3 linked regions of the Neurospora crassa OR74A genome follow. The protein of the gene in region 3 purifies or fractionates together with the protein of the main gene of each other region. This does not show direct contact. Links are inferred from orthologs where the notes say so. Each region holds a gene or a part of one and is shown on either strand. Other genes may lie near its edges.

Region 1 (3,429 bases), on a different chromosome or scaffold from region 3:
GAATTGTGGCATCTTACCCTCCTTCTTCTTTCTTGCGTTTGCAGACCTTCAAGCCCTACGCCACGCCCTCGACATGGGGCTGGTACAACTTCAGTTTACCCACCACGCCCAACCATACATTCATGGACGACTTCACAGATTTATAGTGGTGGACTTACGAAAGACCTAGTGATGGCCTACAGCCAGCCCAACCCAGCCCACAACGACATCTCCCAGCGGCTTATACAGAACCCTCAGTGGATCAACGTGAGGTACATTGGATTTCCCTATTCCGACCGAAACAAGTTCAACCCCCCCTTTGTTGGCATGTGGAACGCAACCCCCGCAGCAGGTGGTTGAGTACTTGCTGCATATCATCTTTCAGTTTGATGATGCTGGGTAATCGGTTGGTTGGTCATGAGTGCCAACGCCTCATTTCCCGAGCTCGGCGTAGTTATCGATGATGGCGGGTGGGTGGGAGGATGTTGAAGTCGATGGGTTTGTGCCGGCTATGTGACTAGTCCTAGGAAAGAATGTTAGTCGTGGATATCTCTCTGGGCTATCCTTTCCCAACATGATCATAGTCAGTAGTGGCCAGGTTCGATTCGAGGCAATCCATCGAATTGCTAATTTTCTAACGGTAAAATACACTTGGTGTCTTCTTGGGCCGACCTTGGTGTAAGGCTTCATGCGGTCTTCCATTCGTATGAAGTCGCAGCTGAGTGGATAGCATTTCACAATATTCTGCTTCCAATCGCTCATGCCATTCCCTCCTTCGACACTCCCTTTCCACTTCAGGGGTATGTAGGTATAAATCATAACAAGTTAAAGTTTTGGTCGTCTCTCCTCCCGTCTCTTTCTTTCCGTCCCATTTGTAAAATTTGAGGGTGATTCATATATCATTCACAGAAGCGCCTCGCCTACGTTCTCCCCTTCGAAGCCAATGGTGGAAAGCTTCTTGATCTTGCGCTTCTCCTTGGCCTTCTCCTCGGCCTTTTTCTGCTTGGCTAGTGTCTGCACCAGTTCGAGGTCGGCAGGGTCGTAGCCCGGGGGCGGGTCGTCGTCGCGGTCAAGGTCGATCTCGCCCATGAGGAGAACGTTCTCGCCGCGAACAACGAAGAGGCCCCGGTCGACGTCGGCGTAGAGCCCCCTGGTCTGGGTGGGTGACTGCGTGCCTGGAGGCACGAATATCCTCTCCTTTGTCTGTTGTAGTACTAGGTTGGCTAGTATGGTGGGAAAAAAGTGGATTCGCGTTAACACAGCTACCTCTTCATACTCGTGCTCGTTCGTGCGTGCGTGTATAGGTGGTCATGTGTTGTAAGAGAGAGGTAGGTTCATGGAGGCATACCAAACTGATCCCAACTGCGGAGGATGCCCGTGAGCTTTCGTCCGTCGCGCAATGCTACCATTAGCTTCTCTGTTGGTACCCCGCCGCTCGTGTCAGCCTAGTTCCTCCCGTCCAAAAGATATGTCCACAATATTGCTTCTTACTATCGGTCAGGTCGAGGAGTTGGGCAGCTGTGGTGAACATTTGCGCGGGCAACTGCTGGGGCTGGGGAGGACGGCCGCCTCCTAGGAGTCCCGGCGGGGGCATGCCGGGTCCAGGCTGGCCGGGGCCCTGAGGGAAGGGCGGCGGTGGGGGTTGATCGTTTATCGAGAGGTGTTCCATGGTTGTGTGCTGAAGATGGCCTATGTCTTCTAGTCCATCTGTAAAGTTTCGGGGGGTGTCTTCAAGGTTGTTGAATGGGAAGCGGGATGCAATGATGCGATGGGACAGCTGCCCGCCCTGACGTTGCCTGCCCGCACATACTACTACCTACCTACTGCGTACATACCTACCTTAGTACATAGCTGCTGCCCTGGGCTGCCCTGGGCTTGCTCCGCTGTTTGTGCAGTTCACCCCACTTTCACGGTGAGAGGCAGCGACGAGAAGTGTGTTCCTTGAAGGACAGCCCGAGTCGCACAGATCTTTTTACCACTCTACTTACACGGCTCCTGCCATAAGCTTTTAGTGGATGATTCCAGCTTCCTTCCGGCAGGCAATTTGCGTATATGTACATGATACAAGTCAGCCACATCGCAGGTTGAGCCACAAGACGGAGCGAATCTCAGCTTTATCCACTTCAGCAATCAGCTCGGCTCATACAAACCTATCGCTGCTTCCTGCGGCAGACTGCTCTCGCTTAGGTACAGCGCCTGTGCGGTGGAGCTTCCATGATCACCGGACTGTATGTCTAGTCAGTAAACACTGCCAGGGCAAGGTGAAACCAAGCGCTGTGCAGCAACCTACAGTATTATTCAACCCGGTGGCCGGACAATGAGCCGACGGGACCTGCACTGACCTCCCTGTGCTGGTTTGCCTGTACCTACCTAGGTAGTGCCGCACTGCATTCTCCGGTCCTTCTGCTTCGGCTCAACCTGCTGTCAACCCCATTTCATTCTGCCACTCCATATTTCTCCATCTGCACCATACGTACCCTCGCTGTCGACAATTATACACAAAAGATCCCATGAGGACTATGTCCAAACCCGCTTCGACCACCAGAAGCCGTTCCTTTTCTCTCGCCCTTGCGCTGTAACCATTCTGCGCGCCCGTCCATCGGCGGACGAGGGCAGCTCTCTTCCCGTCGTCCAGTCGACTTTGACTTACTCGTCCTCTAGCCTCAAATCTCTGCACTGGGGCTCTCTTTTTTCCGCCCACCAGCCTCGCCTTGAGGTTTGCCTCGCCTGGTCTTACCTGGTCCGGATACAATAAAAAAGCAGGCAACCAAGAAACATATTTACGAGGACCCCCCTTTCGCCATGGCTTCTACCGACGTTACCATGGCCGACGCACCTTCCGGGCGGCCTGATCGCCGCTCCAACGCTTCTCCTCCTCCCGGTCAGTCACAGTCACAGTCTAAGAGAGACAAGCGACGCCAAATGCTTGCCGAACGCATTGCAACCCTTTCCGACAAATGGAGCAAGGACAGAGACCAGGCCTTTCGCGAACAACTACAAAAGATTCAGATTGACACCAGTCTGGTCATGCGAGTCGACCCCTATGTCGATCGACCTTTGGACAGCTTCGAAGAGGATCAGAGACGACTCAACCAGCTCAATGGCGCCGACTCCGACGGTGGTCCACGATCCCTCCTTGACATGGCTGGCCCCAAATTTGCCAAGTGGATGGAGAACGTACAGGATCTTGCAGAGCAACGCGATTATGCTCTCACCAAATTTAAAGTACGTCTCCCGATCATAACCGTTCAACGCTCCGCCAGTCAAAGTGCCAATGCTGACTCTTGGTTCCGCAGTTTGACTACGAGAAGAAGATCGCCGAATACCTCAATACGCATGCCTATAAGACGGAGCTTGCGAACAGAGAACACAAGGCGCTTGCCTCGACCCTCCGCGACCGACTGATCAACATCATCACTTCGAAAAAATACCGGCTCAACAAGGAGAAGG
Region 2 (3,502 bases), on a different chromosome or scaffold from region 3:
GGCGAAGGCGAGCCTAATTATATGATGTATTCCGGCAACGACAGCATTTACACGTATACGTTTAAGCACGAGCAAAAGGAGGACTGCCCCGTGTGCGGCATGACGGCAAGGGTGCTCAAGGTCAACCCCAAGTGGACACTCGAAGAGCTCATAGAGTCGTTTGCTACCCTTCCTGAGGCGCAACTGAAGAAGCCGTCGGTGCGGGCTGAGGGCAAGACGCTGTACATGCAGTTGCCCCCGAACTTGGAGGAGCAGACGCGGCCAAACTTGGAGAAGACACTTGAGCAGCTTGGGCTGACGGAAGGTACTGAGCTCGCCGTTACTGATCCAGCGTTTGTAGGCGTGGTGTTCAACTTCAGCCTCAAGTTTGCATGATGGTCCCCAGACATGAACGTGTCATGATGGCCTGGCCTGGTTTGCCTGGACTTTGTTCATGCTATTTAGGGACTAGATTTGTAAATTACCTACGAGCGGGAGCGTTGCACAACAAGCAGCGGGGAATGACCCGCAAGATGGCTATAGCGATGAGTTAACTTCCTTTGCAATTAATTAGATGTGAATACAAGATATGATTAACAATGTGCTTCAACAATATGCTACGCAGTACGTAACCAAAAGACATCATGTCAAATGAGGGGTACTGTGTTTATGCAAGACAGTGTGGTTCATGACTCATGTGCACCGACATGTCTATGATAATTAACAAGCAGAAACCATTAAACTAAAGCTGGCCACCAATCCCTAGCCTCCATGACGCCGTTCCAATGTTCTTTTATATGGTTACAAGAGAGATGGGTATCCTCACGACCTAATCCGTGTGATTTTTCCTCTTTCCCTGTGTGATTCCACATCATGATCGCTCAAATTCTGTCTCAACCACCGTACATAGAAATAACCTCACCTCTTCTTCGTGCTATTTTGAATCCTCCTACCCCTGGTACAATGTTTACTGTACCATGTTCACCACCTGCTTCTCGAACCTCTTCGCCTTCTCCTTGAGGTGGGCAATCGATTCGAGGAAGATGGCGTCGCTTTCCCACTGCCCCGTGCTCTCCACCAGGTAAATGAAGTGATCCCTCCTTCGGCCCAGCTTGACCTTGTCCTTGAACTCGTCATGGCGCAAGCACTCTCTGCTGACGGTGTCACGCATGGCGTCCAGGACCACGGCCTTGAGCTCGCCCTCATGGCCCTCGTATCCGCTGCCCTTCTTCTTCGCCTCCTCCTTGGTGACCTTTTCCAGCCCGATGACGCCCTCGGGGAAGCACTTCTGGAATTTCTCGGCGTCGCGGCCTAGGATCGGCTCGAGAATGGTGATGGTCGGCATGAGGCGGTACGAGGCCGTGGCGACGGGGGAGAACTTGGCGTGATCGGACCCGACGCCCTTGTGCATGTGCATCGTCAGATCGATCTCCTGTCCCGGCCGCATCTTGGCGACGAGGATGTCAGGGTTCGTGGGCCGGATGGCGTTCTCGCCCGAGAAGTACTTGGCTTGCCGGCCCTTGGGCACGAACTTGATGTCCTTAGCGTAAACATGGGCGTTGTGGTAGAGCTCCTTGGGGTCCTTGCTGTCTGCCGGCGCGCTCTCGTTGTTCTCGCACTTGACCTTGAGCTCGAGCTCGACCGTGTTGTAGTCGCACGGGGTCTCGCCCTTCTTGTACCACTTGAGGAAGTTATGGAGGCCTTCCTTGCCGCCGGTGAACGGGATCAGGCCCAGGCGGTGGCCAAGAACTTCGTCCTGGATCACGGAGGTGTTGTTCCACATGAAAATGTCCTCAATGGCCAGCGTGGGGATGTCGGCAATCATGATACGGCGGAAGGCATTGGCGATAGAGGCGTCGACGCCAATGAGCGAGAATTGAGCCTCATAAGGGTCGTTCTGGTGGAACACTACGCGGACACTTTCGCGGAACTTTTCGATATCCCAGGAATGATCCTCGCCGGGGTAGAAGCCGGGAAAGTCGGTGGATGTGACATTGGTGACAGTTTCGGCGTTGATATGGACAGTCTGCAGAAGAAAAATGCCATCAGTTTCCGCGTTGCATGCGCTGCGCAGCCTCGACTGATGATGATGGGCGGCAAGCCAGTGATTGACGTACGTTACGCTTCTCAACCTCTTCTGGGCTCGGGACCTTTGTCCTGACGGGCACGGCGGTCTGCTTCTTTGAGGATCCCATTGCGACGATATGTGTAAATAATGCTCTAGGTTGGCGGGGTTACCCTCTCGCTTTCACACGCAGGTCGGCACGCCGGGCAAAATCTTGGGAAAGAGAGCTCTGCGCTGTGCGACGGGCGATGGAGCGGCAGAATTTTTCCCACGAACGGGAACTTTTTGACCGCCTTCGCGGGAATGCGGTTGATTGGTTGGCTGAGATCTTATCGTGCTGCAGGCAGTGGCGGAGAGGTTCAGGGACTGCCTGGCTCAACTTGATGCTCATGGGCCTCGGCGGAGACAATTGTGGACAGGACCGCAATGACTGGGACAAGGCCAACAGGGTACATGGCGGGCCATAACCTCTGTCAGGTTACCGTCGACTTCGACCATCGACGAAACCTGAGGCGAAGAGAGAACGCTAGATCTTCACTTGCAAAGGGCTGCGCAGGTATGATGGGAGATACTTCAACTACCTAGATATACTTGCATGTCGGGAGTATCAATTCCAAATCCACAATTTTGTAGCTTCGGCGAGGGAAAGACATCGGGGCTTCATATTCCATGTCCACATCGAGGTTTGTCGCGAGTAAGTGACATGTTGACTAACTCCACTCTTAACTCCAGCACATCTTGGAATCTCTGTGGTCATTGTTATAAGTGTGGACATGCTCTTCCATCCTCCTCTTCCTTTCTGCGAAAACCTCTCCCTAAAATGCCCAAATTCCGACTTACACTGCCTCGAGACTGCCTGGCGAAGGACCGAGGCTTCTACAACCAGCCAATCAGATGGCATATAGCGCGGCTGCCCTCCATGGGACCGCTTGGCGGCACGGCTGCCGGATAAACGCCTTGGCCGGCAACAGTCGAGACGGGAGCTTGCCCGCCGTGGGGGGAACGTTGTACCAGAAGAAGCTTGGTCTCTGACTGCTCAACTGATGGCCTTTGATTGGGTTGAAATTCACTGACCAACTGACGGCAACGATTTGAGGAGTTCGAAGCTGGGGCGTTGCTGCGGCCGTGGTCAGGGAAAGTCGACTGGACGTCAACTGAAGCATCTCCACCACCACCTTATTACTGCTATCACTAGAAATCGCAAGCTCACTGCGAGCCATTGAACCGCCGGAGAAGAGGCCACATCCAGCGGCGAACCTCCTCCCCTTTGTCCTCCGTCGCTGTCAATCCTGCGAATCTATCCATCTCCGTTCCCTGACCTTCTGAGCGACCCAAAGCAAGCGGCAGTCCCACAAACAACAATGGCGACGACGTTGTTCCGACTCGCTGGGCGCAATGCCAAGCGCCATTGTATGCGCCAGAGCACCACCATCGCTCACAACCTCAACTCGACTCGCG
Region 3 (4,317 bases):
CGCCTCATGGAGTATAAAGCCGCTTCCGCCATGAAGCCAACAAAGACGTATAAACCCCACACCACCCAAGACTCCGCGCCCATGCCGAAGCGTTGTAAGCCGTGAATGCGAACAGGATGAAGCTGGACCGTATCGAAAAATCCTTGAAATGGGGCAAACTCCAAAAGAGAATGTGTCGTAGTACAGTTCCGTGCATGTCGTTGAACTGTTTGCAGGGTCGGCAGAAAGAGTGTGATAGACGAGTCTGCCGTAGCGTAAACGCAAACCTGACAGGCCGAGGGACAACACTTGCCGTCATGGTAGCCCATTCACAGTTCGGGAGGAACAGAAAGAGATGGCCGAAAAAAAAGGACGACTAATATGTACAATTCAAAGACAAAACAACGTGGAAGCGATGCATGGTCGCACACCTCCTCACATTACCACATATCCCCCTCCTTCCAAAACTTGTTGGGAGAGTTTACCCTACTGGGCAGACAGTGGACCCTGAGGCTGGCCCTGACCTTGGGTACGAGGACCGCGCTGACCACCGTAGTTCTGGTTCTGACGGCCTCCCTGGCCCTGGAAACCACGTCCACGACCTCCGCGGCTGCTACCGGGCTGCCCGCGATTGTTCTGGTAGTTGGTGGGTCTGGGTTGGTTGTTGGAAGCACCTGTGCCATTTTGGCGACCGTTTTGCCCTTGCCAATCACCCTGGGCCTGGGGGATGGGTCTGTGAGGCTGTTGAGCTTGAGGATTGAAGCCAAGTTGTTGGTTGCCCTGTTGAGGCGGGAGCTGGTTTGACGGCTGTGTCTGTGTTGAGAAATGCTGTTGCTGTTGAGACTGTTGAGGCCTTTGCGATTGCTGCAATTGCTGTTGCGGCTGCTGGGCAATAGGCTTGAAGGTCGAGATGGGCCGGGGAATCGATTCAGGGTTCTCGTACACGTAGAGGCTCTTGTCAATGGTCTGAGGAATGGGCTGGATCTCTGTACCAAGATCGCGCTCAATGTTGTAAAGGTTGAATCTGTCATCCCAATTGATCAAGTTAATAGCAAGACCAAGGTGACCATAACGACCAGAACGACCAATACGGTGGAGGTACGTCTCGGCGTTCTTGGGGAAATCGAAGTTGATGACAACGTTCACTGCCTGAATGTCAATACCGCGGGTGAGGAGATCCGAGCAGACCAGGTTGCGGCAAACACCGTTGCGGAAGTCGTGGAAGACACGGTTTCTCGCCTGCTGAGCCATTTTGGCATGACTGTAGAAGCACGAGTATCCAAGCTCAGTGATCTTTTTGGCAAGCAGTTCGACGCGGTTGGTAGAGTTGCAGAAAATGATGGACTGGTTGATCTGCAGCTTGGAAAACAGAGTGTTGAGGCAGTGAACCTTTTGCTTCTCCTCAACAAAGGCATAGTATTGAGTGATACCGCGGAGCGTAAGCTCGTCCATGAGGTTGATCTCGTACGGGCTAGTCATGTTCTTGTCCGAGAAATCCTTGACCGAAAGAGGGAAAGTGGCGGAGAACAGCATGACCTGACGATCCTTGGGGTGGAACTGCAGGAGCTGCTCAATGACGGGGGTAAACTCTTGCGACAGGAGCTTATCAGCCTCGTCCATAATGAACATTGGGCACTCGCTGAGATCGGCCACCTGCTTGCCAGCTAGATCGAGGATACGACCTGGTGTTCCGACGACGATGTGTACGGGGTCCTGCAGACGCACAATGTCGTCCCGCAGGCCAGTTCCGCCGGTTGTCACCATGACGTTGATGCCGAGATGCTTGCCGAGCGTCTTGCAGACTTGGGATGTCTGCATGGCAAGCTCACGGGTGGGAACGAGAATAAGGCATTGGATCTTGGAGACCTTAGGGTTGATCTTGTTGAGGGCGGGAATGACGAAAGCGGCGGTCTTGCCGGTGCCGTTCTTTGCGCGTGCGAGGATGTCTCGGCCGGTGAGGGCAACGGGGATCGCTTCTTCCTGAATCGGGGACGGTTTCTCGAAGCCAGCCTCGAAAATGCCCATCAAGAGATCCCTGTCGTGTATGAAGTCTTCCCAATCCAGACCCCTCGTGTTTGTAACATCCTCGGTCTGTTGTCTTGTGTCCCTGGCAGGTAGGTTAAGTCCCTTTTTCCAGTCTTCCGGGCCTGAGCTATCAAAAACATGTCAGCTGGGTTTGGGACAGAAGGGAAGGCGGTCAACCTACCTCAGACTAGTAGCTTTCAACTGATCCGCTAGTTGGTCGGACATTTTGCCGGATGGTCGTTGTTCGGTTGTGGAACCCGTGGTCGAGGCTCAGATGTTGCAGAAAGGAGAGCGTAGAGCGCGATGGCTTCGTCTCCGGGTGTGTGTAGCGAAATGGACAAGTGGTTGACAAGGGGAGAGGAGCACTAGTTGTGGGTGGGAATCCCCTCTTTCTCTTTTGTTTTTCGGTCTGTTGACGGTGAGCAGAGCCAGACAGATGTAGCTTTGTAGGCGGAGGCGGAGGCCTGTCGCGAGCGGTCGTGGGGCAAAGATGAGACGGCGGTGGATGGGGATGGGGTCGCGAGGAGGCTCGTTGCGTGTGGGAGCACCAAGGACGTTCTCAGTCGTTTGATTTTGCCTGTATGCCTCGAAGTCAAGCGACGTCTTTTGTGGGAGAGGCTGCGAGGAATCCGATTCGGGGTCGACGGCTGGGACTTGATTGGCCTGTGAAAACTGAAGGGCGAATCAAAGCGACGTGTGCGATGCCGTTGGGAGAGTGGGACGAGATGGTGCTTTGCAGCGAGCTCAAAGTGTTTCTGTTCTGTTGTGATTGAAGTGTTGTCGTTGTTGTGGTGGTGGTGGTGGTCGTCGTCTGAAAGCGGGGCAGAAAGGCAGAGAGTTTGAGGGAAACTTCCGAAGCTTGGACGAGGCGAGGCGGTGCGGAAGTCGTGAATGATTCAGTGCTGTTTAGGACTGGGCGAGTGAGTGGACGAAGGAGCCGGAGCGTCCAGGTCCCAGGTCCAGTCTCCTCTCCTCGTCAAAACTGTTCACTCCACTGCCGAAAGGGTCTCGGATCACGTGTTCCCTTGATGTTCCCTGCCGAACCCTGCCTGCGCCTTCCAGTCCAGTTGTGTATCGCACAATCAGCAGCGTGTCCACCACGACGGGACCGAACGGGACCTCCATTTCCATACCTGCGTAGTGTAGTGTATCTCGTCTCATAATGGAAGGCGGCGGGGGGCGCCACTCATAGGCCACAAGTCGGCCGCGGCATCGCCTTCCAGTCCCACTTCAGGGGCAATTCGGTTTATACCTCTACTAGTGTACCTACACTATGACCGCTGCCTGTGCCTCCTCTCTGTTGGCCTGGGTAGTGTACACTGCATAGTAGTTCTGGTGGTGGCCCAGTGTACCTAGCGTACCTCTACATTGTATATATCGACGTCATCCGGCGCACTGGTGGGATATCGCGGGCGACATCCCGTCCATGGACGTCCTTCTGGGCTTTGTTACGTAGGTAGCCGAAATTGGACAAAGTAATGATCAAAGTTGACAAAAAGTTTGACAATTGGAAAACAGTTCGATATTTTCCAGCACGGTCAGATCCATGAATGTGTACATCATGCCCGTCTCTTCACTGCCGTCTTGCGTGCCCAGTGTCAAGTATGTACATAGGTACCTACAGAGAGGTACATTCGACTAAGTCTAGTAGTACCGCTTTTTTCAATTCGATTTGGATACCCCTTAGCTCCCCCTTTAGCGGGCTCGGCGGGCCACCTTACCCGATCTAGGTTTGTAAGCGAGCGCCCTACAGCTGACAGCCTCCTGCACACACCTTGTGCCAGGTGTAGCCACGTTCACATACCCACTCTGAGCGCCCAGAGGCTACAGTGGGCTTGCAGATGGCTTGCAGTTGGGCGCCAGCTTTACTGTAAAAAGGCTAGCCCCCCCTTAAGGGTACAGTCCCGGACCAAAAATAAAACACGTTTCTTTTTTACCCGCAAAAAGGGCCAAAACTCAACTCTATCACTCCCTAGTTTTCATGCCAACTACCTTTCAAAAGCAGATGCACTAAAGGAGGACAGAGTTAAATAGTTATACTCCCCAGATATATAAATGAAATTGACTTCATTGGTTTAGTAGTGTAATCACAATTGTTCAAATGAGAGTTTGAAAAGGATTTTTGGTTATAGTGCATTTAGAGTGCATTATAGTGGATAGAATCTGAGATACTTTTCGGAAAGTGACTTTAGTACTTACGCTTTTGCCCCCCGTTCGAGTGTATCTTTTCGGACAACTTGCATTAGTATCTCCTCTTAAAGTTATCTCTATTTAGAACGTGGAGTGAGTTTTGCAATAAACCACGTTGAGAAA

The links.
Region 1: the proteins of NCU06149 (region 3) and NCU01601 purify together in Saccharomyces cerevisiae (affinity purification with mass spectrometry; 6 studies listed by BioGRID, with this or other methods). This does not show direct contact. The link is inferred for Neurospora crassa OR74A from reciprocal best matches to the Saccharomyces cerevisiae genes DHH1 and LSM1.
Region 2: the proteins of NCU06149 (region 3) and NCU02533 purify together in Saccharomyces cerevisiae (affinity purification with mass spectrometry; 3 studies listed by BioGRID). This does not show direct contact. The link is inferred for Neurospora crassa OR74A from reciprocal best matches to the Saccharomyces cerevisiae genes DHH1 and RPC40.

The regions. Positions count from the first base shown.
Region 1 is NC_026502.1:2,980,906-2,984,334, forward strand, and holds NCU01601 (hypothetical protein), read right to left. Parts: upstream 1,913-3,429; 5' UTR 1,649-1,912; coding exon 1,471-1,648; intron 1,397-1,470; coding exon 1,328-1,396; intron 1,203-1,327; coding exon 883-1,202; 3' UTR 579-882; downstream 1-578. Other genes in the region: NCU01599 (hypothetical protein), read left to right, coding at 2,782-3,204, 3,276-3,429. UniProt on the Saccharomyces cerevisiae protein: Component of the cytoplasmic LSM1-LSM7 complex which is involved in mRNA degradation by activating the decapping step.
Region 2 is NC_026501.1:2,645,754-2,649,255, forward strand, and holds NCU02533 (DNA-directed RNA polymerase I and III polypeptide), read right to left. Parts: upstream 2,284-3,502; 5' UTR 2,175-2,283; coding exon 2,097-2,174; intron 2,006-2,096; coding exon 947-2,005; 3' UTR 587-946; downstream 1-586. Other genes in the region: NCU02532 (NEDD8-activating enzyme E1 catalytic subunit), read left to right, coding at 1-375; nuo49 (NADH:ubiquinone oxidoreductase 49kD subunit), read left to right, coding at 3,406-3,502. UniProt on the Saccharomyces cerevisiae protein: DNA-dependent RNA polymerases catalyze the transcription of DNA into RNA using the four ribonucleoside triphosphates as substrates.
Region 3 is NC_026507.1:1,629,036-1,633,352, reverse strand, and holds the start of NCU06149 (ATP-dependent RNA helicase dhh-1), read right to left. Parts: upstream 2,939-4,317; 5' UTR 2,230-2,938; coding exon 2,186-2,229; intron 2,132-2,185; coding exon 466-2,131; 3' UTR 1-465. UniProt on the Saccharomyces cerevisiae protein: ATP-dependent RNA helicase involved in mRNA turnover, and more specifically in mRNA decapping by activating the decapping enzyme DCP1.